Linked DNA regions of Lepisosteus oculatus. The main gene of each other region encodes a partner of the protein of the gene in region 2 in a complex. Links are inferred from orthologs where the notes say so. Each region holds a gene or a part of one and is shown on either strand. Other genes may lie near its edges. The genes, in order: thoc7, thoc5, thoc3 and sarnp.

Evidence for each region.
Region 1: the proteins of thoc5 (region 2) and thoc7 are in contact, whole or in part, in a cryo-EM structure (PDB 7APK), measured with the Homo sapiens proteins. The link is inferred for Lepisosteus oculatus from reciprocal best matches to the Homo sapiens genes THOC5 and THOC7. Residues at the interface, in NP_001002877.1 of Homo sapiens: Pro48, Asp51, Tyr52, Tyr55, Cys59, Leu62, Gln63, Met66, Ala67, Gln70, Phe95, Lys99, Leu101, Asn102, Ala105, His106, Arg108, Leu109, Gly112, Arg113, Gln115, Thr116, Ala119, Lys120, Val123, Tyr126, His127, Leu130, Leu133, Glu136; in NP_079351.2 of Homo sapiens: Ala21, Asp23, Ile27, Leu30, Val31, Phe34, Tyr50, Met53, Leu54, Leu57, Cys60, Glu61, Met64, Gly65, Thr67, Leu68, Val70, Tyr71, Asn74, Met78, Tyr81, Ile84, Tyr85, Ile88, Glu89, Ser91, Ile92, Ala95, His96, Lys98.
Region 3: thoc5 (region 2) and thoc3 share a complex: the UniProt entries of both Homo sapiens proteins name them as parts of the transcription/export (TREX) complex. The link is inferred for Lepisosteus oculatus from reciprocal best matches to the Homo sapiens genes THOC5 and THOC3.
Region 4: thoc5 (region 2) and sarnp share a complex: the UniProt entries of both Homo sapiens proteins name them as parts of the transcription/export (TREX) complex. The link is inferred for Lepisosteus oculatus from reciprocal best matches to the Homo sapiens genes THOC5 and SARNP.

The regions. Positions count from the first base shown.
Region 1 is NC_090699.1:48,898,263-48,905,813, forward strand, and holds the start of thoc7 (THO complex subunit 7 homolog), read right to left. Parts: upstream 3,005-7,551; 5' UTR 2,801-3,004; coding exon 2,782-2,800; intron 2,604-2,781; coding exon 2,486-2,603; intron 1,203-2,485; coding exon 1,075-1,202; intron 1-1,074. UniProt on the Homo sapiens protein: Component of the THO subcomplex of the TREX complex which is thought to couple mRNA transcription, processing and nuclear export, and which specifically associates with spliced mRNA and not with unspliced pre-mRNA.
Region 2 is NC_090717.1:14,292,238-14,299,132, forward strand, and holds the start of thoc5 (THO complex subunit 5 homolog), read right to left. Parts: upstream 3,011-6,895; 5' UTR 2,956-3,010; exon of another isoform or gene 2,872-2,955; intron 2,641-2,871; exon of another isoform or gene 2,617-2,640; intron 1,631-2,616; 5' UTR 1,607-1,630; coding exon 1,514-1,606; intron 854-1,513; coding exon 710-853; intron 352-709; coding exon 238-351; intron 1-237. Other genes in the region: acyl-CoA dehydrogenase family member 11-like, read left to right, coding at 4,265-4,516, 5,523-5,755, 6,549-6,648. UniProt on the Homo sapiens protein: Component of the THO subcomplex of the TREX complex which is thought to couple mRNA transcription, processing and nuclear export, and which specifically associates with spliced mRNA and not with unspliced pre-mRNA.
Region 3 is NC_090706.1:35,586,373-35,593,578, reverse strand, and holds the start of thoc3 (THO complex subunit 3), read right to left. Parts: upstream 3,002-7,206; 5' UTR 2,879-3,001; coding exon 2,699-2,878; intron 2,088-2,698; coding exon 1,931-2,087; intron 1,333-1,930; coding exon 1,128-1,332; intron 764-1,127; coding exon 602-763; intron 111-601; coding exon 10-110; intron 1-9. Other genes in the region: shtn3 (shootin-1), read right to left, coding at 6,183-6,336, 6,761-6,929. UniProt on the Homo sapiens protein: Component of the THO subcomplex of the TREX complex which is thought to couple mRNA transcription, processing and nuclear export, and which specifically associates with spliced mRNA and not with unspliced pre-mRNA.
Region 4 is NC_090696.1:14,511,500-14,518,617, reverse strand, and holds the start of sarnp (SAP domain-containing ribonucleoprotein), read right to left. Parts: upstream 3,024-7,118; 5' UTR 2,947-3,023; coding exon 2,914-2,946; intron 1,167-2,913; coding exon 1,067-1,166; intron 1-1,066. UniProt on the Homo sapiens protein: Binds both single-stranded and double-stranded DNA with higher affinity for the single-stranded form. Specifically binds to scaffold/matrix attachment region DNA. Also binds single-stranded RNA. Enhances RNA unwinding activity of DDX39A.

The DNA.
Region 1 (7,551 bases), on a different chromosome or scaffold from region 2:
AGTCGTCGTGTTGTCGAAAATCTCTGGTCTCAGCATGGGAGAGAGCAAGAGCTCCCTCCCTTCCTGCTCACTAGCCACCGTAATGACTAATCTACTGCGATGTATGAGTGAATAAGTACAGATTGTGCTGCAGACATTTCATCGCAAAATTGTTCCTATGGGATCTCAAAGTCAAGAGTCAATATTCCTATTGGATTAAAAAAACAAGCAAGCTTGTTTACAACATAAAAGGGCCGTACTATGTCACCAGACATTTTGCTAGCTTGTTCTAAATTGCAGAATATGGCACTATGCATACCTGGAAATCTCGTATATTTTGTGACGTAAATTGGAGGTTTTACAAGTTACTGTTTACGTTTTACTTATCTTATGGTTTGAAATGTACTCTTTAATGCTGATTCTTTCTAAACCCAAAACATAAAAATAGCACTGCAGTTCCCCTTTAACTTACACATCTCTATCAAGTGTAGTCTTTGAGAGTTCCTATCCATATTAAAGTGAAGGTATAAATCACCATTTCTAAAGGTTAAGCAAGTAATTTGTGCAATTAACCATATCTGGTCCTTGAGGGCCGGTGTATATCCAGATATTTGTTGCAGCTTCCAGGTGATCTCTAAATTGCTTAATTTAACAAAATGCCTGCCACAGTCTCTCAGTTCAATTGTTTCTCAAGTCTTCATCCAGATGTTTATGGTTATCTACAAAACTTGATGAATTAACGTTTTCAAGAACAAGACTGAGAGACCACAGATACAGATGACGCATAACTATGCGTGGTCTCTTTTATAAAGAAAAGGAGGCCAATTTTCATTACGTTTGCGCCTGCATATATAAAAAGTGATTTAATTCTGTATTTCATTCTGCCTTTTATGAGACAACTTTACTTATATGTACATGTAGCATAAGACATTGGATAAAAGATTAGCTACTTAAATACAAAAATGAACTGAGAAAGCTAACTGCTGCACACAACGAAAAAAAACAACTGTGGCCTAAAAATTTAAGCATAAGCATGCTAGCTGAAACAAACAGCCACAAGGTGTAAAGGACTAGAATAGGACAGATTCAGATTACCTATATCCGTGTATATTTTTTCATAGTTTTCCATCTCCCGGAGGTTCATATCATAAACCAGCAGGGTCTTCCCCATGGAGAATTCACACTGTGCCAGTGTACCTAGCATCCTCTGAAACTGGGTGTACCTAAAAAGAAAGACATTTCACTGTTTCCTGTGTGCACCTTGAAAACAATAGGATATGTTGCCAGCCTGCTTCCTGCTTCAACTGAAGTGCCAGTATGTGATCTAGACAATGAAGTGACCTTTTGTGAAACCACTGACTCATTCTACCAACAGTTCACAAGGTGCTTGTTTCTCCAGAATAAATTGCACTGTCGTGCCACACATTTCAGACATTTCACCTTTAATGTGAACAAAACCTTCCTAACCGCATGCAACAGGCACATATAGTAAGCAAATACATTGTGCTATTTTAGGGGAAAATGCTTTAAAACAAGGGGTTTAATCAATATAAAGAAAATGCCATGATTAAACCTCTCCATTTGGAGTTTTCAGTTTTTGATGAATCTGAAGAAAGTATCTAGGGGTTCTGTATTGTCTTATGCACTACAAGTGCAGCTCTTTTATGTAAATTTAATCACTGAGTAGACTGTATTGCTTTCATTTGAGGCATTTTTCAAAAAAGAAGAAAAGGAAATGCAACTATGTGCACAAATTACACGGTTGAAACAACTGTCCCATTTTCACCACATAGGCATGGCATCAGCTGTTAGCGTCCTGATGTCACTTGCAGCTGCAATGTCAGGTGGTTTCCAGTCCCTGTCTTGCACGAGTGTCTGGTCTCTTTAAAGTACCAGCTCCTGGAGAGCTGCTGTAAAACGGGTCCAATCCAGTCAAATAATGATACGACTGAAGTTAAGAGCACAGCTGGACTGAAAACTCATAGAATTGACCCTCTAGGACCAGGACTGGGAACTCCTAGCACAAGTAAAATGAACAAATAAACAACTACTTCACAGCTGTGTTGTGCTGAGGAGAATCCACATAGATATGTGCTGAAATGCAACCTCACAGTGCAACCCAGGAAGAAAGATACAGTATAAGACAGCAAACACCAGGAAATACCATCAAAACATTATGTAAAAACGTATTTCCACAACCTGTATACAGATAAAGAACCAAGACATATAGTAGACTTATTAATCTGACAAGATACCGCTACGAAGGTAGAATGGGGATGTACCTTGTGCTGGACACAGCAACAGATATACACGCTAAAGATATATGAATTCGGTACGATCAAGACATTAGGAATTTTACTAGCTAAAACAACACAGCTCTACGGTCAGTTTTAAACCCATGACAGAGCTCTCGGGGTTGGCTTCTGAGCAGTTCCCCACGTGTTTGTTTCTGAAGAAGATAAACTACTGGTATATGGATCTGTATTAGAGTCAACGAGTTAGCTACCCTTCCTCCGGGGCTCCAGAATTGCACCACTTGGTAAAGCTTTTCAATAGTACATTGATGCGACGATCGTCACCAGCTCCATCTCCGTCAATCAGAAGTCGTTTCCGGATAACCTCGTCTGGAACGGAGAAAACAAAACAGATTAACTATCCAAAGCCACAGAGGCAGGCGACGCGAAAAGCGAATTCCTAAGTCAATTGCCTGTAATGCCATTGCTACAAAAAAGTTAAAAAAAAACACGTGTGTTCAATAGTGAACATTGAATTATAAAACATTCAGTACTCATAGTAACTTACCATCAGTAACAGCACCCATCACTTCGACAATTTACTTGTTTTCAAATGAAACTTTATTGACTGCAAAAGCTATACCAACCCAATTCACAAAAGAGATAAATAAGCAGTATGCACCCGTCTCCGCCTGTGAGACCGATTGCGTCGCTTTGTCAAGGGGTTGGAAAGACCAAAACGCTTTGCGGTTAAAATCGTTTGTCGTTTCCGTAAATACTTCTTGTTTGTCTGCCATGTTGGCTCAAGTTTCCTGTATTTTCGTATGCCAACGCCGAGGCTTGCTCAGAGCCACAATGGCATCAGTTGCGTAGGCCTCTTGGAGGTGCTGAAGCCTCGCTAAGCGCCGACGTGCAAAGCGTGCGGAAAGAGTGACGTATGTCTCCCAGAATGCAGCCTGGTAAACAGACATGGAAGCCCCGGGTAAAGACCTCCACAGTCAGTGAGCACTGTGTTCGCTCTTTATTCGCCATTCTCACCGCTCAAATTTAGCTACATTTAACAGACTGACATCCCGAAGGAGCTTTTGTATCTTTTTAAAAAAGTCCCGGAAGCAGGTAAACACGGATAAGGTTTATTTCTCTGTCTGCAGTCTGCTAGTGTTCTTGTTTTTCTTAAATGACAATGAGAAACAATTTAGGTAGCAATTTACACAAACCACCAGTAGCCCGGTGCTAAGATTGTTTAATGTGGCTATTCGAGTATTTGTAGGAGCTTTGTTCATAATAATGGAAGAAATTGAAAGTAACAAGTTCTTAATCCTTTTCAATACACAGTAAGATCGTCCAGTAAATTAGAATTGTTGTTTTATGCGGAATACTCCTCGTTAAATTAAGTTAAACGCTGAAAACTTGAAACTGTGCAATATGTTTTATGTTTTAAGATTAAACATAGTTTTTCTTGCAGGTCTGATTTTTGCTGTAATGTCCTGAATGAAGCTATAGATGTGCATCGTTTGTTTTCTTCGTGCTTTGCGACTTTTCGTAGAAAGTAGTAATGATTGTTTTACTCTTAGAAGTATTCGGTGAGTTTTGGAAACTGCTGAAGGAAACAGTGGAAAAGCTGGCACTTATTTACCCAGTATTTGTAAAATGCTACATTATATGTGGTAGGTAAAATAGTTACTACAAGCTCTGCAACAAATTATTTATCTTCCGTTATATTCCGCGTAGATCTTTGTTCTCGTAGTTAGTGAGAATTTAGATGAGTTTGGCAATGCTGAAACTCTTAGTTTTTTCAATAATCTATGAAAACTTTAAGAAGGAGATTATTTTCTCTTGATGATTAACGTTTTAATGTAAAACGCAGATATTTCTTGGCGGGGGTTTATGTAATCTCTTCAGTGGGACAGCCTGTCATAGAAAGTGGGCATAGAAATACAAGTATTCCCTTTATCAATTCAAAAATGCTAATACATGAGCCTGTTGTTGAAGGTTCAAGCAGACATACTTAATCTAAATAGCAAAAGAAAGTAGAAACATTAGCTTAAGGTTTTATTTTAAAATATTAGCAAGAACGTATGGGTTTTATAGTAAGGAAACTGACTCTCAAGACCATGCTACCTAGCTTGCTGCTTTCCTGCATTGGGCTATTCCATGTTGAATAAATCAAATTCACTGAAGTTTGTGTTCACATGTTTTTAGTGTAGTGGAAGTGTGAAGTCAGGTTTGTAACAAGGTCAAATAAGGTTAAATTGTCGCATCTTAGTTTGTTAGATTGTGAGCTCATCTTTCAGTTTTCAGCCAAACAGTGACTTAAAATTTAGGAACTGACAACTGGATATATTTTTTACATTTGGACATCATAGCTACATGAAATGGTGAAGTTATAATTATTTTTCAGTTCTACAGAAGATGTATCTAGCCAGACAAGTGATTTTAGAAGCTTATGTATAGATATATGTATTCTAAATTTTTAAGGCAAAAATGTTTAGATATTCAAAATCTCTCCAAGGCTATACTGTATGTATTGTAAGTATGGCTGTGCTCTTTCACAAGAAAAGTGTTCCAGTAGATGTTCATCAATATGCTTAAATTCATCCATTCTCTAACCTCTTCTTCCAATTCAGGGTCGCAGGGGATTCGATCCTGGCAAGCAGCAGGAAAAAGGCAAGATACACCCTGGACAGGACACCAGTCCAGTGCAGAGCATACACAAACACACTCCCAATAGTGCAAATTTTCTCAGAAGCCAGTTAACTTACCAGTATATTTGTTAACTGTGGGAGGAAACCAGAGCACTCAGAGGTAACCTATGTGAATATGGGGTGAACATACAAATTCCACACAGATAGCACCCCAGGTCAGGAATTGAAACCAGGTTCCCTGTACTGTGAGTTTGGTATAGTTTATGTTTGCTTGTTCACGCTGGATTTCTCAGATAAAAGGTATTTCTACAAACCTACCACTGCGTCATGTCGTCCACATGAGCTAAAAGATTTGGTCTAAATATTCAACCTCTGTCTTCTACTACACAAATATTAGTGAAATTAAAATCATGACTTGGGAAGGTCTGATTGACTTGACACAGAATGACGCAGCTCCAGTTGTTAATTAAATGCTTGCATTTGTCTTGCACTTTCTTTTTTATTCCCAAGGATTTCAAAGGATCTCAGATATAGGAGAAGCCCCACTTCTTGCACTGAAGTGCATCATCCACCAGTGTGTCATGTGGAAGCATTTTTGTGCTGGCAGCCTCACAACAGAGAATTTTAGGTAAAGAGGTGAAAAATTACTTCACCTTTTTAATTGAAGGGGAAATGTAGGTAGACCACATTGTGAATGCACAAAGCAGATTTTAACTAGGGCACCAAGTTTAAAAATCCTATTAACAAAGTTTGGGATATTTAACTTAAGTACTCAAGACCTCAGTGTGATGTCTTATCCAACGGAATACACCTCCTGCAGCATAATGTTACCGCACTGGGGTATTGGTTTAACATTTGCCTACTGGTGTAATAGCATCACTTATTGTTCACACAGCCTGGCTCTATCCAGCACTGCCTGGGCCCAGCCTTGCTTAGCTTTTGAGGTTGACGAAAGCAGGCTACAATGTGATAAAGATTCTGAGTGATTCTGTGACATTGTCAGGTTTATTTTTTACACTTTTTGGTGTTTCTGCTGAAATGTGATCCCTGAAATAATTGTGATTGCATTTATATCAAATAAATCATAAATTGACCATTTACAACTACATTTTATTAGGGAAATCCAGTTTGAAAAAGCAAACAAACTACACCAAACTGCAGATCAGAACATTATGGTAATGAATGATAATTGTTAGTTCCAAAATCTCTTCATAATGCTACTGAGAATCTCAAAAATCAGGCTTTTCAGTCTTTGGCTAGTTTTAGAAACAAGGCTGGGTTAAGGTTCAGCAGACTAGGCACATGCCTAGGGCCACAATATTTAGGCCCAAATTAACTTTAATTTCACCTTGTTACATACCTGACCTCACTCTTCCACTACACTAAACACATGTGAGCACAAACTTCAGTGAATTTGATTTATTTGACATGGAATGGCCCAATACAAGAAAGCATATGTGCTAATTATTCAGTTTTCATTTATTGATAAAATGGTGGTATAATGGTAAGCATTGGTTCCTTGCAGTGCTGGAGCCCAGGGTTTGATTCCAGACCTGGGGTGCTGTCTGCATGGAGTTTGTATGTTCTCATGGTGTCCTTGTGAGTTTCCTCTCACAGCCTAAAGTAATACTGCTGGGCTAATTGGCTTCTGGGAAACTTGGCCCTGGTAAGAATGCCTGCGTGTCTGTGTGTTTGTCTGTCTGCTTTATGATGGACTGGTGTCCTGTCCAGGGTGTACCCTGCCTTAAGCCCGTTGCTTACTGGAATATGCTTCAGCTTCCCCATGACCCTGAATCTGAAGAAGTGGGTAGAAAGTGGATGGATTATTCAGAAATCACCCTAGATTTGATTTTCTATGTCATGAGATCTGTTTAGTAATTTAATTATCCATACATTCTGTTACTTTAGCTATTGCTCCTAGGTACAAAGAAACTGTAAAGATGTATTGGCTACATTTGCTCGCTTTGGCCTACCACTTAAAAATGTCTGAGCACTGAGGCACAAAAACAAAGAAGTCTGTAACTCACTGATTAAATTAATTACAAAGCATTTTCTATTGAAAGACTTTATATCATCTGTGACTGCCTAATAATTGAACTGCAGTCAGACTTACAAAGAATTAGAGTACAAAATTGGATTTCTGCAGTTTATTTCTTTGAATATTTGCGATGTTTATGTAGATATAGAAATTGTAAAACAAAACTTCTGTGTTCTGAAAAGCAAAGGCATCAGCAGTGAACATGTACCAGCTAGGCCTGAGGGACACATGTGGACACTTGCCTTTGTATGCACACAGTCTCTAGCTGTTAGCACTCTCTAGCTGTTCTGGAGCTGTTCTTTTTATTTGATGAAACTTGTGAATAATTGCCTCCAATCAATGGTGAAAGGAGGAAAACTAAATGTATGTACATTGTTAGCAATTTAGAACAGTTTTACAGTGTCCTCATATTTTGATGGAAGTTATTGATAAGTTTACCAGCAGAAAAGGAAGAAGAAAGGTATTTTAAAAATGAGTGATGGTAATGCTTGTAATCTAACCATTGAGCTGTCTTATTAAATATATGTATAATTTATTTCCTCATTAATACCGCTGCAAATTCATTTTCACTAACAGTAACATTGCTTTTGTACTGGTCTGACTTGTTAATTTTCGAGCATGAAGACGTTATTAGATAACTGTGCTACATTTATTT
Region 2 (6,895 bases):
TGGAGATGACCAAGTCAATCAAGCAATGTCTTAGGGAAAATAAATGTTCTTGGCAACCTAGGAAAAGAATTGTTTGCACTTCCGTTAGCTTATTAATCAATCAAGTTTAACACTTTCTGATTTTTTTTACTTGACCTCCTATTAAGTTCAAGTGATCATATCTTCCAATCAATTTGAGTGACTGCGGTCAGGAAAAGCCCTGTCACCCCCAAGAACAGGAACGTAAGGCAGCCGCACCTCGTGGGTCTGATCCCTGGCTTTCTTCAGCCTCATGTGAGCCAGCCGGTTCAGCTTCTTCAGGGTCATGAAGTGGATGCACCCCATCATGCGCTTCTCTTCAATCTCTGCCGACTGCAAGACACAGGAGGAAAAGAAACAAATAGAAAATCAGCTCTTGTGGCTGTCAACAGCAGCTCCTGCCACTTCCTGCCTGGACGCATTGCGTAAGAGGGAACAGAGTAGGGAGGCCCAAAGTGTGATGCTTGGAAGCTGCAATTCTGAAGACTTTGCTTTCCACCACAATACCCCAGCATTGCAGAATTCAGCCCCGGCCAACTCCTGCTGCCACGCAGGTGGATCAATTAAGGCAGCAGCTCCCAGCCCTCTCCTGGGTGCCCACTGTCTCTTCTGGGGTTTGCAACACTCCTGCACTTCATCACAGACGAATCGCTCAAAGTGTCAGAGTGTGAGATGTCGCACTATGGCTCACATTGTCCTTGCTGCCACTGGTCTTCAGCTCGTTGATCTCAGCCATGAGTTTGGCCAGGTCCTGACAGGTCTGCTTGTACAGAGTGTAGTCCTGGTTGGTATCCCTGCTCTCCAGCTCCACCTCCTCATTGTACACTCTCACGTCCTGCAGCACAGCAAAATAACCAGCGATTAGGGCTCACGTGGAGAGTCGTAGGTTCAGGCCCCTGTGGCAGAAACCCCCCCCGGAAAAAGTAAGCAAGGCGCAACCTGATTACTCCAGTTCACTCAGCTGTTGTAAATGGGACTGAGTGGTTCAAGGCCGCTGACCCCATAAGAGACCATGGTAGGTCATGCGATTTATGGCTCACACCCACAATCACAGCCCAGCCTGCCGGCTGAGCCCTTCAGGAGGCACAGAGGGTGATTTGTACCACCGATAGTGCTCTTATGATCACAACTGTAAGTAATGCTTCAAAATAAAGACCCCAGCTGAAGCAGGAAGGACACACTAATGGGCAGGCACTCCTGGGATCAAAATGGCAGACTACATGCTACAGTGGGACACCACACTGTTGACCTAGTACAGGAAAGTCATATTGTAGCAAGATGCTCATTATAGCAGGGTTGCCTTTCTTGCACTGTAGCTGTAAAATCTATGATCAGACAATCTCAATCAATCCGCTGGTGTGTTCTCAGTCTCAGTGCCAAGTCCTTCTCTGACTGCTGATACAGCCCAGCCTGCTGGCCCAGAAGGCAGACTGCCATCTACTGCATCATGAGTGCCACTGCCATTTGATTCGACAGTTCCAGTAGCGACCCTCACCTGGTCCCCCTCTCCCCTATTGCGTTTTGATTCTGGGGTACCCTCATTGCGGATCACTTTGGGCTTCCTCTTCTTCAGGGTGTCGGCCGACATTTGCAGGCGATTCTAGGAGCGCTCCTGGTGAGAGGGTAGAAGAGGGGGTCAGCAAGGTATATGTAATGGACTGGCCGTAAGTCCCAGCTGAAGTAAGATGACCACAAAACTGAAAGCTCAGGCTTTATCTTACGAGGAACCTACACACACCTGCTACAGGACACTGCTGCGGTCACCTGCAGGGGAGGTCCTGACTACTTGATCATTAAAGAATCAATGGGACTGTTCAGAAGAGTAATGAAGGCTTCGCTCTTAATTTAACTGAACTCATTTCTCTCCCTCTAGTAGCAATGGGGCTACAAGCACATACTGTAGCGTAACTGGCTACTACACTTCAAAGGTCACAAAGTGGATCCCCATCTATAGCAAAATGGTTTCAATTCCTTTGAGTTAAATAAAACTATCCAATAAGTAATTTTTTGGCCTGAGATTTTTTAATTACTGACTTTAACAATTTAGTTAATGGCATGTATTAAGTCTTAAGCAGCCTGTTATTGTAAGACCTAAGGAATGTCTACAGAAATCCGATCCTTATTGGCTACAGTTACTTATCCTTCTTTAAGACACGTTAACAGCATGCTTAGCTAATTCAATTCACCAATTCCAGGCAAGTTCTTACAGGAAGAGCAGATGGAATTGTGCTGTTAAAACGCAAAGACGGCAGAAAGAGGTACACAGGAGGTCTCAAGCTGCACATATAAAAATCAACAGTGAGGACGATATAAGAGCAAGTGCCCTGTATCTTTCACTAGTTTAACACATTCCCAGTTGGTTTCAGAGTCCTGAACGTGCGAACTAGTGACCATTGTGAACATAGTTATAAAGAAAAAGTACAAATGGATTTAACAAGGACTTCAAAATATATATATTAGAAACGAGTTAAGCTTCGGTAGCTCACAGTACTGACATGTACAAACAACGGGACATCAAAGTAAAAATAAAAGGAGTATCGTTATAACTGATTTTGTTAATACTGCTAAAATCGCATCCACGACAGTTCACATAATCACCCGAGATGATCACCGTCTTGGCTTTCTGTTTTCAGGAACAACGCACATAACAACTCGCAAACATAAATTAATCTGCAAGTCGTTTTATAGATTTTATCTCCTGGGCAGGGAGTGTAAACAAGGTACAAAGGCTCTTCCTTAGCAGCAGCGATCAATTAAAATGCTTCGACTCACAAGTTACAATACGCGTACAGAAGAAAAAGCCGTTTGCTTATCGCAGACTTCAAACAGCCATACATCAATGCACCCACCAACCTTATTCACAAATTCGGCAACGAAAGGCTCTGTATTTTTTAAACAACTAAAAATAACATTTCATTCACTAAACACAACACTTACCCTAAACTCCCCCCCAAAAAAACATGGAGGACTTTAACTTTGACCTCTGACCCGGATGGGGATCCCGGGGCAGCGCAGTTACCTTTCCGGCCGAGAGGGGGCGGAAGAGAGAGATCAACAACATCAAGGCGTAGGTAGAGTTTACTTGAAAGGTAATGTGTGGTAAGTTTATTAACAACAGAATTTATACACGTGCTGTCAGTCTCATTCCCTTTTAGGAACACATTAGTAATAAAGTGAAGATAACTTTGCAATCGGAGTAAACCGAACTTTTAATCTACTTCTTGTATTCCTCTATAGTTCAAAGTACAGTTAGGGTTTAAATATGTTTTGCTCATTATATTTTAAATAATGCAGGGAACTTGAAATGGAGGCGAATAAACTGTCGTGAATTATCTTTTAGAAAAAGCACACGTAAATTTCATTTAATTATAGACCAACGTGCCGAGCTTGATAATGTAGAAAGAATGTGTTTTTTTTCTTACATACGCTGGCGAAATAATTAAAAATGATTGTAAATCTCAAGACAGCCAATAATAACATTATTATCCTTCGTTTTTGGATAGCCACTGATCCCTATTAAGCCCCAGGTCCGTGAAGTTGCCTCCCCACACACACGCACAAACGATGAAACCCACCGCATTCCTTAAAGAACGCAAGGAGAATCTTGTTGTTTTTTTCTGATTTATAAAATGAAAGAGCTACGAAGTATTGAGATGTACTAGTTAAAGGCTTTTTTAAAGAATATGCAGTTGCTCGCTAATGTTCGCTTTTTAAGGCTACACCTGCAACTCTTGAGGGTATGATATTGAAGACAAATTAAATTTTTCTGTTCACACAAACGCACAGAAGATACTGGTGTTAATGCAAAATCTACCGCTCCCCAACCGGGCAAACAGAAACACAATTGCAGAATTGTTACTCTCGCACCAGTAACAGCGCTTGAACTCGGCAGACGGGGTCACTGGAGGTCAAAGTCACCGTGCATGGTCACTTGATCACCCGAAAAACAAGGCGCTATATTTTGGGAACGAAAGCAGCACAAATGCAGCACTAATGAATGTTTCATCGATGTTTCATCGTTTGTGCTGTTTGTTGGGAGGGCAACTTAACGGAGCTGAAAAAGCTGAGTCTATCCTGCTGTAGTGACATGCAATAAGCACTCGTAAATAAACATCAGCACCCTTTACTGTGAATTAACGAAGACGGATGACAACAGGTTCTCAGAAGACAGCTCAGTATGCTTCCTCACATTCACTTCACAAGCAGGGGCAAGCGACTGGCAGGTCGTTTGTGCTGCAGGTGCCTGATGGCCGCGCGTGTCCTGAGGCTGGCCCTGGCTGGGCGGCCAGCGGCAGGGGCCTGGAGCCGCAGGGCGAGCAGAGGGAGCTCGCACCTCACCGCTCCGCGGGGCCGCACAGAGGCTCCGCAGGAGGAGGAGCGGCCTCACTTCTCCAGGTCCTCCATCGGGAGCTTCTTCCAGGAGAGGCCCCAGCTCAGGAACCCCTTTCTGCAGGACGCTCTGCTCCAGGGCTACCTGAGAAGACACCTCCCTGCTCAGGTGGGCCTGGTTTTACTTCTCCTTGACCACTTTATAGGCATAGACAGGAGAAAACCCTTATCCACAGACTTTCAAGACACCAGTCGACTGGTACTTCTGCTGCCTGTCTGACCTCATACACAGCCTGGCTCGAAACGTCTTTTCTCAAAACCTTGATGAGCTGTTAACATTCTGCTCCTCAAAGAAGTCGGTGGCAACGTCATTTTATTGCTGCTTAATAGATACCTGTACGTATTCTGGTATGTGCACTCACCTTATTTGACTTTTAAGACTTCATTGTGAGGTGACAAATTAGATATAGTGCAAAACGAAATCTGATCAGATGTCGTTAAAAATGTAACGAAGAAATAATTTTTGGAAGTAGACCCATATAGGAATGCAGTGTTATTGTTTTCCATGCCACTCGTGGTCTGTGAAACTACTCCAATCTCAATATGGAAGCTGGTTTGGATTAGCTTATGATATGCTTATGTTAAAACTGTCATGCTTGCTCCCACCGGAGCACGACAGGACGCGCTAGGATCAACACAGCAACCGACGGAGCCTCAACAAGACCTGTCAATCAGGCGATTGCCGTGACTACGAGCTCTGGTTAAAAATCTGTTCCACCCGTCTGTAGTTAATGACCACACTGCCCTCACTGGGATCTGTCAATATTAGACCAGTCTCTCTGCGCTCAGTCTTAGAGTTTCAGTTATTAGTTTTGGCATTCTCAGCTCTGCTTATACTTTCAGGTTTTTGGCATCTCTTGACTTTAATTTTGCTTTCGGATTCCCCTTATGCTTTGCCTCTTTATCTCTCAGCTACAACCTTACGTTCTAGACTGTTTATTTCTGCCTGCATGCTCATTATGCCACCCTGCTCTGCCTGCTTGCTGTCCACGCCAGCCTGCCTGCTCTGCCTGCTTTCGGGTTCTCCTGATGCCCCTGGGACACTACTTTCACTCAGGTAGGAATAGCGGCATTACAAGAACAGAATGGGCATGTGTAGTGTATGTGCGTTCCAGGCTGTGAGCGCGGTCGGGGCAGATCTGGAGCGGTTTGGGGAACGGATCTGCAGTGAAGTGGACGCTCTGGGCCGGCAGTGTGAGGAGACCCCCCCCCGCCTGCAACACTGTGATGCCTGGGGTCGGCGAGTTGATCGCATCCTCACCTGCCCCGCCTGGGGCCGCATGAAGGAGATCTCGGCCCAGGAGGGGCTGGTGGCTGCTGGCTACGAGAGGACTTTCCGTGACTGGAGGTAGGGTGACACACACATCTGGTGGTTTCTTGTGCCTGAGTTTTGGAATGGGCATTTGTTAGTTCTCCTCATATGGAGACTCCTAGCACAGTAGAAGGAAAGAAAATATGCAATCACAAATTCTAGTGTCAGGATCTCCTTCTCTGTTCCTGCTGTAAGTTCACAGCATAAACAGCAGGATCCGTTGCAACCCTGAACTGGATGACACAGTTAGCAAATAATAACCCTGTGATTTACAGTATGATCTTGTATTAATCATATGAAACAAAATTACACAGGTAATTAAATGCTTCTATCTTAATGCTAAGATTGTTAGGAATAAAATACAAGACATTGAAGCAACTCCATTGCTAATATCTCTTGTAATTTTGCATGCAATTAGAATGCAATTGGCATCACTGAAACAGCTAACGGAGACTGATGTTGATGAATATAACACTAGTGGATACATATCATTCTGAAGAGAACAGTGGAAAATTACTCACCACAGATTATACACCACAAAATATTTGTGGACCTCACGGAAACATTGCTTCTCGGAAATCATACAGTGCAGTGTCCAGATGTGTTACTACAAGGAAGTGAATTTAAAACTAAGAACAGGATGCAGTTTTTGACTGAGCAGTTTGTGGGAGTCTGGAACAAGTTATCCAGCATGTTATGAAAGATGATACTGAGCAGTCTTTCACAAAACAGCATTTTCAAGTAGACGAATTGAAGGCCTAAAATGTATATCCTGTATTACAAAAGTAGTGTCAAATTAGGTGGATGATACTGGTGTATATTTCCTTAGCCGTGTTTACCAGATGTCCAAACTATACCTCTGCTCTCCCTCTGCTGGACTCTACACCTGTCCTCTGGCTATGACTGATGGGGCAGCTAAAGTCATTGAGGTCAGTGAACTGCATCCTGTATCGTTTACGCTGAGGTGCCGACATCTTTGCAAACCCACAGGGGCTGCACCCCTTATAAAAAAGGTGACATAGCAAGTTCACATATAGTAATTCTGTATCAAGGTAATAATAATAATTTTTCTGGACACTGCACTCAAAGCACTTTACAGGTAATAGGGATCCCCTCCACCACCAGTGTGCAGCCCCACCTGGATGATGTGACAGCAGCCATAGTGCACCAGTACAC
Region 3 (7,206 bases), on a different chromosome or scaffold from region 2:
GATGCTTACCTGTCTCCACCTCAGCAATGTCAATGAAGTGGTCCTCTGATGCTGAGGCTAGCATTTTCCCATCATGACTAAAACTCAGTGTCCTAACAGGCCAGTCAAGCCTCAGAAAAAAAAAGGTTAATCAATCAGTATGGAATATATTGAAGACACAGCAGGTCCTCTATAACATAAGGAATAATTCTAACATTCATCTTATGCATCACAGACTCAATTCAGATCACAATCATTTCAGCGTGATCAGCAGGAACTGCAATTAAATGTCACACAAAAATTATATCACACAGAGGCCTAACCTGCTGTTAAAGAAATCTTATTTCTGTAATAATTACTTCTAAACACCTACATGAAGGCACTATACCAATGGAGAATCTAGAACAGATGTATTGTTGTATTATGGGTCCTTTTTATGGCTATAAGAATAGTCAATATATAATATGCATAGTACAAACAGAATATTTTCTTCTCAAAACATCAGAATAGATGTTCATACATATAATATCACCCCATATAGGAAAATACTAAGAGTTCAACTGGAACTACATTATAACCAGAAAATTGGAATTAGTCAGGGTTCATGCAGGTATGGACTCACCTGGAAAAGCAGCGGACACAAACCAGCTCTTCCACATCCCACAGGCTAACAAGTGCATCCGCACTCCCTGTCGCAAAGTACTTGCCAGTAGGGTCAAACTTTATGCAGATACAATTTGAAGGATGAGCATTGATCGACTGGATTGGCTTTAGCTCTGGGTAACTGAAACAGAAGAACTCACTATAATCATCACTAGTAAAGGTGTTAAAAAGATTCACTAATTGCACATCCCAATCATTCTGTGACCTTCATTCACAGGGAGTTAATAAAAAAATACTATTACTTACACTTGTCCTAAAAACTAAATCTGATATGCAGCCAATTATAGTGTATATGCTTAACTGTATAAATGCTATACATTTACAATATACATGACCAATTATAGCAAAAAATAACAGTATCTGTGGGAAATGATTTGTGAATATATGTGCTAAAACACAAACACTGTAGTGGCCTATGCTCTTTCAAACATCTGTATTAAAGACAATTCATCACTTTGACGAACAGAAAGATTGCTTTCCCTTACCTAAGAATGTTGATGCAGCCGTTACCATTCGTCAAGAAGAACATATCATTATCGTTGTTCCAAGAGATCTCATTCACTTCAAACTTAAATTGTTCCTCTGCCCGGGAACGATGGGTTTTCGCATCAATAAAGGTCACAACATCATCCTTGTTGCCAACTGCAATTGTCTGTCCATCAGGGCTCCAACAGATGTTGATGTTCTCCCCTAGCCACAGAAAGAGCACATGAGCAATCAGCCAGACTGCCATTAACAACAGTGACCAACAAACATTTTTATCATGGGACAAATCCACTTTTGCTCGAATATTCAATTAACAAAAAATACACAAAAAGATGCTTTTTTATATTTGAACTTTACATTATGGTTTCATGTATTCTTTCAAACTAAGGCTAAAGGTTGGTTCAGAAAATTACAGTAATTTCTCAATCACCCGTGTTAGTTAATGCCTCCAATAGAGATAATGTTTACTCTGATTATGTCAACAGCAAACAAAAATCAGTAAATGTAACAGGTGTATGATAGTGTAAGATGAGACTGTTCCAGTAATGTCACTGCCCAGTTTGCCCAGTCCAACCTCCTAGAATTTCCTCCTCAATAGGTGAGGTAGTTTCTCAATGATCTACACTGCAGCAGGACAACAGTGCATACCCAGATTAGTGTTTCACTAGAGCAGTAGATGAAGTGGGTCCATTTCTAGATAGTTTGAGATTAAAAGAGCAATGTAAATGCAAGGAATTGTATATACACATTTCAGCGTGTTTTTATCAATGAGTCTCTGAACAAAACACATATTGTTCTGAACCTTTAGTATTGACAGTCGCGATGCACTTTGTAGTCCGAACATCCCAGATGCGTATTGTCTTGTCCCCAGAAGCAGTGACAAAGAGATCTGGGTTGGTAGGGTGCCAACATAGCTGGTCCACACTGTCTCCATGACCTCGATAGTTATTCTCCTTCACCTGAAAACAGATTAAAGTCAGCTATCAAAGAGATCCATCTTCACATTTTTCAGAATTGTCACGGATACATCCACTTAAGAATGTTAACACACATATCTAGATAAAATGGCACTTTATTCGTGATAAACATTTTACTTTAGGACATTGCAAACCTACACCGAATACAGATGAGCGGAGCTATCGATAATGGAACTTTTAGATGCAGAGCTCAGACTTTTGATGTGGAATGATTTTCTTTTCACGTAATAATGTAATAATAATAATGATAATAGCATTGGCACTATTTTCACTAGGTGTAGTACCTTAGAGCCAATTAATACAATATAATTCATATTTCATCTACCGTAATTGTACGAAATATCAATTCAGAGTCGACCAGACAGAATTCAGACGTAATGCACCTACGCCATCTGCCTTTCAACGGTGACATGACACGTAGGTTCATTCATTTGTAAATATATTCGTTAATTTAATAACTTAAGATAATAAAAAATTCCATTACTGAAGTTGTAAATCAAGTCTTTTAAGATGCTAAAAGCAAGTAAACAGATGGCATTCTTCCAAATAAATAAAAGGATGGGGGCAATGTTCGAAAACAAACCCTCACTTACCAGGCGGTCTTTTTCCAGAACAAACACACTGGCGGTTTTATCGAATGACCCAGATGCTAACCTCCTGCCATCGCAGCTCCATGCGACCGAGTGAACCTTAGCGCTGTGCGCCGGGAACTCTCGACTCTTGTTGTTATTTCTGAAGCTCTCCTGCATATCTTGGTAGTACTGAGACGCCATGTTTTAAGTGCGCCGGAAGAGATTTGATCTTCCTTTCCCAGCGACGTGGTGCATTGTGGGATTGGTGAAGTTCCGGTGTACAGCTTTGAGGGCGGATATGGAGTCGCATACGGCACCGGAAAACGAATTTACCTTTAATATTAGTTGTTGCGTTTTGCATCTTTGCGGCAGATTGTAGGTTTGCACAAAATTTACTTTTTCAGTTACGTTACACAGCTCTTCTAGAACAGGTCTGTTATGTGTCGTCTACAACACCTAGCACAGTCTCGAAAGCTAGCTGCGGTAGTCAGGGTTTGAATGGTTTCGCAACTCGCTTTTGCTTTTTTATTTAACAGTTATTAAAGTTTACAATTGTTACATAGGGTTTTTTTTTACATTAAATGCTACCTCCATTTGCTTCTCTGATGCGTGATACGATTTAGAAAAGGGCGGTTGTTACTTTCTGCATAGGTTCCTTGTGATGTCACAGCCGACGAGCAGTATAAGAACAAGCAATGTCTCAGCCAAGCCTTTTCATCTAAAAATGTTTTTAATTTAATTTTTATCAAGACAGTATAAATAAAACTATTGCCTTAAAAATTCCATCTTTGTATTCGTCTGATTTATCTTTGCTAAGACTGTGCAGAAATCATGCAAAACCCTGTTTTTTACCCAAATAAACTTGCTAAGCATCAGTTAAAACGTTTTGATTGTTTAATTTGGAGGATAAGCAAAATATCATAAATATAGCAAAAAGAAAAATCTGAATATGTGCTTATCATGGTATCGAATGTTACCAAACGAATTTCTGGTATTTTCATGAAACCCAAACAGGTTAAAAAAAGGTCATGCGACACAACAGTCTTAAACTTAATTATCTTTATCTACAGCGTGAGTTATGGAAAAAATATGTGCTGTCGACCAATATTTTGGAAAAAAATATTTAATGTTATTTCACTAAAGTGAATTGCTCACATATATATTTGTTTTTCTTTATAAGTAAGAATAATTCTGACACATTTTTGTATAAACACATAGTCCAGATACTGTAGTCCTATACATTCAGTACAGTATCTGGAATCCTAACACGGTCAAACCCACGATGCTTCTCCTTTATGTTTCCTGTATAACTTGATTTTTTATCGCTTTCAAAAATGGTGCAATACAGCTACAATTTATTAAATTTATTTTTCTCTAGGCTCAGGAATGAAAGCAAAGTCCAATGATGTAGTCTTTGTTATAAAAAATGGTAGCTGTATTTTATTATTCCAACATTCTGATAAAAGATGAACACTATTTTTTCCCCTGAGACAAAGTCATTTGAAAATATGACTGAAAAGCAGAAGTAATGAAAACAGAAGACGAGCACTCAAATTGCCAAAACTTTATTTGTTGCAAATTTTTAAAAAAACTTATATGAATAATGGAAAGCGGTGAAGAGTTTTAGAAACCTAAGAATAGGATGATACCACATTGCAAGTCTTTACATCTCAAGTGTACACTGTAATCTGGAGCCAGCAAACCCATATTCACACAAACCACTACCATACAGTGTTACAGAACATTAGATGGCAACAAAAAGGTGAACAATCAGGTGCAATACATTATACTGTGGTTAAATGTAATAGTAAGTCTACTGTTCCATTAACATCTGGCCACATAATGAATAGACATAGGCTTACTTCAAAATGTTAACAGTACTTTAGAACTTGGACTACCTGAAAGGGAGGCTGACAATATTTATGGTCTCTAGGGAGCAACCTTTAGGAGATTTTATCTTGTTTTACTAGAAATTAGTTCTTGATTTGAAATTATTTACTTGAACTTAAAATTCAGTACCCTCCAAAAAAGGGACTATAGAAAAAAAAAACATCTACACAGCAACTCCTCAGTAGTCAAATTCATGAATGATAAGAGAGTACAGCAACCTCTATATATTCAGTTAAACAGGTGAGTATGCATAAACTCTAAAGGGTATATTTGGTGTTTTGTTCAATGGGAGCATTTTAACAGCTGCGATTCACTAATAACCTGCATAAGCACTGAGAGAGCACAGGTGAAGTTTCATTTGTCAATGTGGTGTCTTCAGGCTTAATTTGTTGTAGTGAAAAAAAAGTATTTCAGACTTTCACTTATGAAATCTTTTTAGAGGTGTCTGATTTGAATTATGAGAACAATTACCTAAAAACTAATAGTGCAATACAGACTTAAAGGCTTTTTCTTGTTGAACACATAGAGGTATTAGACTTTACCTCTGTGCATAGCATAGGTCTTGGTGGGATACTCTTGCTTCCAAATTGTATTGGTGGGCCTGCTACATGTAGCCATACTCCAGCAATGAAACGATAATGGAACTGGAATATATACAGTAGCACCTTGTATCTAGAACAGAGGGAACTCACAGCACTTAAAGTGTGCTGAACCTCTGGAATATTATGTAACCAAAGCAGTACAACTACCTCTTTGGTGAAATGTGGAAGACATTTTTAGCATTTGTGTTTCCTTAGCCTTTAGTGTTTTCATTCTGGTTTACAATTTTTGGATTGACAAGCAAGTGAATTCTCTTGCAAGGAGGTAGGCAGAAGACACTTAAACTTATCTGACAAAGCTGTCCCAAAAATATCGACAGGACTGCAAACCTTTTATGTATATCACTGTTTTGTTGACATCTGTGCACAAAAGTTAGCATTGCATATAATTTAGCATAGTTCACCATATAATTGTGTGACTTTTTTTTTATTTTGTTTAAATGTCAGGCAGTGCATTTAAGTGGAATGTGGACACCTTAACTACTGAGTTAAAGAATAAATTAAGTTTGAAAGTAAAACGTGTTTGTGTTTTTTTTTCTTATATGAAGCAAATCCTGATTTCCAATAAAGCATTAATAAGTTAACACAAAAATATGATTATAAGTCAAAGCTTTCAAAACAGGAAACCTACAGTAAGAACAATAGGGATTCAACCCTATCTTTTACAAATTCATGGAACTACAGTATAAGATAATTTAGTGTGGCTTGGGTACTCATTTGAAGACCTAATTTTGAGCTCTCCTGCTTTTCGGTGCCTTAGTCTAATAAAAGATTGAGAGACAAAACAACTTAATATCATCCATTACATACCAAACAACAGTGCATTCCTTAAGCAGACACCAACCCCCGCTAGCAGACAGCATGTGCATCTAAAAACGTCTAGTGAACCTAAAGCTTTGAAATCATGTTATCTAAACATACAAAAAAACCTTTGTTCTTTAAATGGTGTGCAAATTGTGCAGCTGTCACCCCAACTCCCCCTACCCCAGCCATTTGCCTGTGCCCTGTTGCTGAGGTTAACACTCAGCATCAGTGCTACCATTCACAGGGAGGGGGCCATCCGGAGAGCCTGCAGTCTGGATGCCATGCTTATCACGGTTTGGAAGAGCATGGCTAAATCCGTTAGGTTGTGCGCACTTAGTTGCTGATTTCTTCTCATTGTCCTCACCACTGTAGATCACAAGTAACAAAAGCATTCTTTATAACTTCCAAAAACAAACAAACCCATAATTGCATTCAAGTCGTGGTGCATAAACCTGTAAGGGGTAGTTAGTTTGGATACTTTTAAGTTTAACTGAAGGTGTTTTCCAATGTGAGGATGTCTGCTTTTCAGGAATAGGAACATTTTCGCAAAATTTGATAGAAATGGAAACTTTCTTTTTCAGTGCATGTGTGCAGACAGAGTGTCTTTCTTCTACTACAGAGCTACTTGGCATTCGGACAGTGCCAATTTAGCAAAAATTTGAGAATGTGACTGCTCAGTTCAGTGTTCAGTTGCTAAACAGAACACAAAAGGAGCAGCTGGAGAATTAAAAGTCAAGATGCTTACAGTTTAACAATGTGTCGTATACGACGGAGAGGTCAAGGCAATTACCTGCCATAGCAGCCATTAGCCACCACTTCTCCTGTGCCCCTGTCAGCCCGAGAGCTGTGCACACTGCCCTCATTGCAGGATGCAATAGGCTCCTTGCCAGAATCTGAACTGTGCCTGGCATTCAAGCTTTCAGAAGAGGAGACCTTGCTCATTTCACTCTCCTTGTCATCTGTCAGAGAAAACAAAATGAGCATTTAGAATCGTGATAGAAGGCATCTTCTATCCTGTAATCATTTCTAGTAGCTCATTGCTGGGAAGCTGTGACAGCTGCCTTTAATCATTATGGGGTCTCCTGGGATGTGACAGAACAAAATATTGATGAATAAGAAAACCTCGAAAGTATGCAGTAAAACCAAATTAAAAAATCAAGTGCATTTCTGCCCATTTCTGTAAAAAGACTTGTTCAGAGTTTAAAGGGAAACTTTCATGCTTGAAATGGAACATTA
Region 4 (7,118 bases), on a different chromosome or scaffold from region 2:
AGTGTGGCCATGTCCCAATATGCACACTTGCACCCTTCATACGCGCATTAAAGTCTGCAGAGGCTTAGGGGGGTCTCATTTTTAAATTTGTGCGTGACAAGTGTGCTCATGAGCGCCTCCAATGCACCCATCTCTGAAGTCCATCTGAGTGGACCTCACTCAAGGGAATCACCCCTAATTCCGTGCGGAAGAGTGACGTTTCATGTTCTAGCCTATCAAAGCAGAGAGAAGTAGCGATGGAGAACAAAATATTCACATTAATAAAATTGCACTTACAGTTTTAAAACTCAGAATATTTTATGCAAAAAAAATTCATTGGGCTATTTGAGATTCTTACTGTATGCATTTTAAGATACGAAATCGAGACCTAAAGCTTTTATTTCACCACCCCATCACGACTAATGAATATTTGTTCACCTGCTGTGTGTTTTGTAAATGGAATATTTAATAGCACACGTATCTAACAGTACAAAACCTTGAGGTATTGTCAAGTTGACCTTCGCTTACTTTGAACGAATGTGAATTAACAAATTATGTTCCTTGTACTGTCATTTCAGTAGTGAACATTTTTGGTGACATATGAGATGAAATACATTTAGTAGTACAAAGCCCTGAATAAACAGAGAGTGGTACTGCCAGGTTTTCCTTAGTTCGCCCATTTTGAGTCGAGCCTGCTTAACATAGAATGAAAAACGGCGTGTCACTACTTTTGTGCAGAGACAGACGAGATGAAATCCAATCTCATCAAGCTGCGAGAGCAGAACGGACAATTCTTTTAAAATATTATCTGCCGAACTTCACTTGGCCCCTGGAAAAGCAGTGTCAACAGAAAGCGTTCTGACCCGGAGCTGTGTAACCAGCGAGTGCTGTCACGCAAGGGTGTCCCTTCACTCTTTCTAACGGTGCTCCTCAAATACTCACGCACCTGAAGTCCACACTTGCTCTACGTCACAGGAGTGCGGACTTGGGGGGACGGGCTTAGGATTTAGGGCGACAACTGGGACACAGCCCGTGTTTGCACTGGCCTGGAATGAACCCAGGAGACAGAGGGAGACTGTGGTCTTACCGTGCTCCTCCAGGTAAGCCTGCAGCCGGCTGATCAGATCACTTTTGTTACCTTTGACCTCCAGACCCCGAGCTGCACACTCCTGCTTCAGCTCAGCTAGCTGGGGGGGGGGGGAGAGAGAGAGAGAGGAACACAGGCGATTTCATCACTCTGGACAAGGGAGGGCTCCTGTGGTATATACTTCACTGCCCCCCCCCCTCCAAGACAGGCATTTCTACCATTTCACACCAGACTTAAAAGTAACTGCAAAGGAGCATGTGAAAGCTTATTTCACACTGCAAGGAAAAGAACTCACATTGTCCGTCTCTTCAGCATTGAATGAGCTTTGACCCGTTCCTTTGCAGCCTACGTATACTGACACAGCTTAAGTGTAATGGCATAAATGAAAACTACCTTTGTTTTAGATACAAAAGCAATAATAAAGTAATTACTAAAAAGTAAAAATCGTTTTACAGAAAATTTGAAATTTTCTGAATAGAGGAAGCACTACAGTGCAGTTCCTATACCCATAGAAAACAGTGAGAGAACCCAGAACCCAAGGGAGAGGGATATAGAAGGGGACACAGTCACAAGATCAATTGAGCATCTTCATCAGATCCAAAATACTGCTCTCATACTCTTGGCGAAACCAGTAAATGTTCTGCACCCGTGACTTGTAATTATTCCAAATTATTCAACCAGAAATATTTTCATCCATTGTTCTCTTTTCGTACCTTGGGTGGTTTAAGAAGAAGTTGCAGATGACTCACATTTATAGTGAGCATCTCATGTTTCCCACAAGCAGGATGTTCTGGATTTAATAGCTTTGAATCTGCAGTTGCCTGGGGCGAATCTCGGGCACGGGCCATGACCGCATCAACTGCCGTTCAGAAATGCAGAACTTGGAGATCAACTCTGCAATGGCTCCGGAAGAACAGGCCTCCTCGTGTTTAACATTCGCAGGTCGCTCAACCAAACCTTTATGGTAACTAATTGCTGTGCGAGTAGTTTTGAACAGAACGGTAAGCAGTGCAATTGAAAGACATACAAGGGATAATTGAGGGTTTCACAAATGACGGATATACAGAACAACAAACTGTATGATTTACAGTGGCTGCTGTTTCAGACTCGCTTTGAATGAAGAACGTGAACCCTTCAAACCGACGAACAAGATCAACAAATTAAGTTCGTTATTTGAAACGCATATCCTGAATCCTGAAAGCGTATCAAAGCAACAGCATGCAGGTAAAAACAGAACCACCTACACGTGAAACGTACTTCTTAACCTGGAAAGCAAAACAAAGCTCATCTGTTACAATCGGTCGCGTACACACAAGGTTGGTTTTTCTTATGTGATGTAGGTCGCAGCCAGTGTATACGATACACAGGTAAAACAGGAGTGTCAAATAAAAAAGGTCTGATGTTTTTCTACATCAGCAGGCCAGGTAACAACCCTGAGCGTCTCTCCAGTCTTCTGCAAGCTCTGCACCGAAGGCCTTTATCCTAGCAGCGTGCGATATTACAGTATTTCGCCAAGCGCAGTGCAAATTACAACTGAATTTGGTATATGGTTTATAGAGTATTTGATTTATAGAGTCCAAATACTAACACATGCTTAACTGGAAGCAAACAGCACAGGAGTAATCGACTGGTTAAACATACAGTACACATTCAGCCTAAATTGAACATAAACCTGTTTGGTAAGCATTCGACTGGGCGAGATTTGAATTGCAGCTTCCTTATAAAAACCTCTAGCCTACTTCATCCTCCAACCTACTAGAATGATAAGATACTTTTTACAGAAAGCCGTATTACTCAAGCGTGAGTGCTACACACTAATTTCGAGGCTTATTTATATATTTTTTTACCTTAAGTTTATGAAGCTCCACTACCTCGGCCATCTTGAATCAATGCTTCTCCGGCTGCTTCACAAACAGCCAATCACGTTCGACTTTACTGCAGCGTTAGTGACGCTGATGGGGATTGGCTGAGAATCTCCAAGTGTCTTTACAGAATGGGGTCAGGTTTAATGCTCTGACGTTCAGCCTTAAATTAAACATTGAATTTCTCCAAACGTGTCAGTAGATTAATCACATACATTTAGTTTAGGTGCATGATATTACATCTTGCGAGTCAAAAAATATTTTCATTTATTGTATATCGTCATATAAAATAAACACGATTGCACACAGTACTTGGCGCTTAAGTACTTTACACAATAAAGTATATTCCCCCTAATGCATACCACTCAGCCTCTGTACTGTGGACAAAGTTTTTTTGTTTCATTCACTTGATGTTAACAATGTTGTGACTATATGTATATACCCCTATTTATTGTATTTTCCATTTTTGTATTTAAAAAAAAAACTTTAAAAACAACTCAGCCTCTCGAAGTCATACCGGCCTGATTAGCTCAGCTTCATTTGCATATATTTCCCAGAGTGCATTGTGTCCTGAATAACACGCTATAATTTTTCTATGTAGTAACAAAAAACACATGAGTTTAAGGTAAAGGGAATGGGGGTTACAGCAGTAATGTCTTCGTGTATCAGCCGTGGAAAACTGGACTTTTCATAACGTCCCATATTGTCTAACCATGACCCTGTAATATCAGCTGCTGAAGCTGGTCGCCGAGGCACAGAGAGCAATTTCAGTACACTCTGGTTTCTCTTCAGATCGTATAAATCTTTCGCCTTTTACTAAAGATTTCCGTGGAGAGGAACATTATGAGTCTAAACTAATTTTTTGATCGCCCTGCCTCACGGCGGGGCTTCCAATACTGGTAAAAAATCAGAACTTATTTAACAGATAGATACTTTATTGAATCTGTGAGGAAAGCTGCAGTACAACAGCAGTTAAATAAATACAACGCCGTCACAGTATAACGAAATGTTTAATAATAGTACAATACATACAACACAATACAAGAGTTACTCACAGTCCAGATACACAAGAACAAACTAGAACAGTACACAGAAAATCGTATCAGACATATGAATATAAATATAGATGTATTGCACAAAAAATGGTTGTAAACGGGAAAAAGAAAGAGAAAGAGAACAGATGTAGCAGTAGTACAGTCTAATGGCAGAAGGCAAGAATGACCTCCTGTAGCGCTCCCTGTCGCACCGTGGATGAATCAGTCTATTGCTGAACGGGCTCTTCATTCCTGCAAGCCTGTCATAGAGGGGATGGGAGAAGTTGTCCATGATGGTCTCTAGTTTGGACATCATTCTCCTCTCAGCCACTACCTCCAAGGGGTCCAGGTCAGACCCAATGACAGAGCTTGCTCTCCTGATGAGCTTGTTCAGCTTTTTGGAATCCACTGCTCTAATCCCAGAGCCCCAGCACACCACTGCGTAGAAAATGGCACTCGCTACCACCGACTGATAAAACATGTGCAGCATCTTACTACACACATTGAAGGACCTGAGCCTCCTCAAGAAGTAAAGTCAGCTCTGTCCCTTCTTATAGATGGCCTCGATGTTCTTAGACCATTCCAGTCTATCGTCGATGTGCACTCCCAGGTCCTTGTACGAGTCCACCATCTCCACGCCACTCCCATGGATGTAGACAAGAGTAGGTTTGACCTTTTTCCTCCTGAAATCAACCACCAGTTCCTTTGTCTTTGTTACATTCAGTTCCAAGTAGTTCACCCCACACCACTCCACAAAGCTGCTGACCAGTCCTCTGTACTCCTCCTCCTGCTCACCCTTGATACATCCCACAATTGCAGAGTCATCTGAGAACTTCTGCAGGTGGCATGACTTTGAGTTGCACTTAAAGTCCAAAGTATAGAGGGTGAAGAGGAATGGAGAAAGAACTGTCCCTTGAGGTGCCCCTGTGTTACTCACTACCTGTTCAGACACACAGTTCTGAAGTCTCACAGACTGTGGTCTGCCTGTCAGGTAGTCAGTGATCCACGAGGTCGAGGAGGCTTGCATCTCCTCCAGCTTCCTCCTTAGAAGTAAGGGCTGGATGGTATTGAAGGCACTGGAGAAGTCGAAAAACATGATTCTTACAGTGTTGCCAGCCCTGTCCAGGTGTGAGTAGGCCCTTTGCAGCATGTAGATGATCGCTTCCTCCACACCAACATTGGGCTGGTAGGCAAACTGTAGGGTGTCCAGTGATGAGCTGACCAGGGGTCTCCAGTGGGATAAAACCAGCCTCTCCAGTGTCTTCATGATGTGAGAAGTCAGTGCAACTGGTCTGTAGTCGTTGAGGACAGAGGGGCGCCCTTTCTTTGGTACCGGGACCAGGCATGATGTCTTCCAGAGCGTGAGTTAGTATAAAATGCTATTTCTTATTTTACGCAAGTTTAAAGCCACAGTATTATCATTAGTCCAATAATCATGTGTATTGGCGATATAAAGAACAAAAACTAGCCTGTTCCTATATGTTGATTGTCAAGATTAGTGGGGAGTTTGGTTTGAATACCTACCTCTATTCTTTTCGAGAAACAATTAGGCGTTTTAAAGAAGTCAGAAGCGCTGTTTCATGCGTCAGCTGAAGGAGAGGGCTTTTTTACAGCACAGCGTCCCGTCACTAAACTGGGGCACTGGAATCCACACAGACCGCAGGGTGAGCGCCCCCTACTGGCCCCTATTTTCTTTTACAATTTCAAGTCTGCAAATAATGCATTCTTTCACGATTCTTTTACAAACGTCCGACGCTGACTGCATGATTCATTTAAAACACAGAGGCTTGATCCCCGCCACTCCTTACTCTGTGGTTTTCCTCACTCTCTTCTAAACAACTAGCATTATGGCCAAAACTTGACAACTAGACTTCTAACTCGCACCAAGTCTTGGCAGCATATCACTCCTACACATCAGCCTCTGCTTTCCCATAAAGTTGCATATTTAACATAAGGTCTTGCTAGTTAGAAGAGGAGAAAAGAGACGAAAAGAAACACAACGTTTCAGCTGTGGAGCCTTCTCTGGGTGTCACTTTTCAGCACGGAATAAACCTTTACTGCTTCCTGGTGTCTCTCCTGTTGGGGCAGAGGCGGCTTGCCGGCATGCCCTTTGTGCCAGGGGTGAGGGCCACTGGAGCACGCCCTCGACTGTTGCCCGAAAGCCCTTGGAGAAGGCTGCTATCGGTGGCAGCGCGACCGGGGGCTGAAGCCCTTGGCGGACGCTATTAGCGGGGATATCAACGACAGCAAACATCACCAGGCCACCGAATCCGTCAGAGCCGGTCAGCAGCCGCGTCCGCTGTGCAAAGTATCGGCGGGTCTCCTTGGCAACGGCAAGACAGGTGGGCCCCTGACCGCACTCGGGCTGGACGTTGTATTGCTGTGTGAAGCATCTCGGCAGCCGGCCGTGCCAGAGCGGACAGGTCCCCGCTGGAGGCTGGCGGAAGGAGGGAGTCAGACATGAAGACCTGGTAGGTCTGCGCTGTGGGAGGGGGTGAGCCCGTCGGGGGGGGGCTGCAGAGGACTTGCAGGCCAGTCCCTCTGTGTCTTTTGGACGTAACAGGGGTGAGCAAGAGGAAAGCCATCCAAACCGCCAGAGAGGCGGTTGGAAATAGTTGAAAAAAGGCCTTCGAAACAGATGAAACCCACCACCCATACATTACTGTAGATCCCGTCCCCACCACTTCATTTCAGTGCTGTTTTCACTTCTCTCTGCCCCGTTGTCCTCAATATAATACATGAATCCTTGGGCACTGGTGTTGTACCAGTGGTTCTCAAAACTGCTGCTATCACCCCTGTGCCACAAAATCTAAATCTAAACAATTTTCGCCCCATCTCCAATTTTCCCTTTCTTGCACAAATTCTAGACTGTGCTGTCACATTTTCAATTACATAACCACCTCATTGTTAATAACCTTTTCAGACCCCTCCTATCTGGCTTCCGACAACTTCACACACAGAAGCTGCCCTGGTCAAAGTCACTAACGATCTTCTAATGGCTTCTGATTCTGGCTCTCTTTCTATCCTTATTCTTCTTGACCTCACTGCTGCTTTCAACACTGTTGACCATGACATCTTACTTTCTCGTCTTGACCTGTGTTTGGAGTTTCTGACACTGCTCTTAAATGCTTCAAGTCTTACCTCACTGATCGCTGT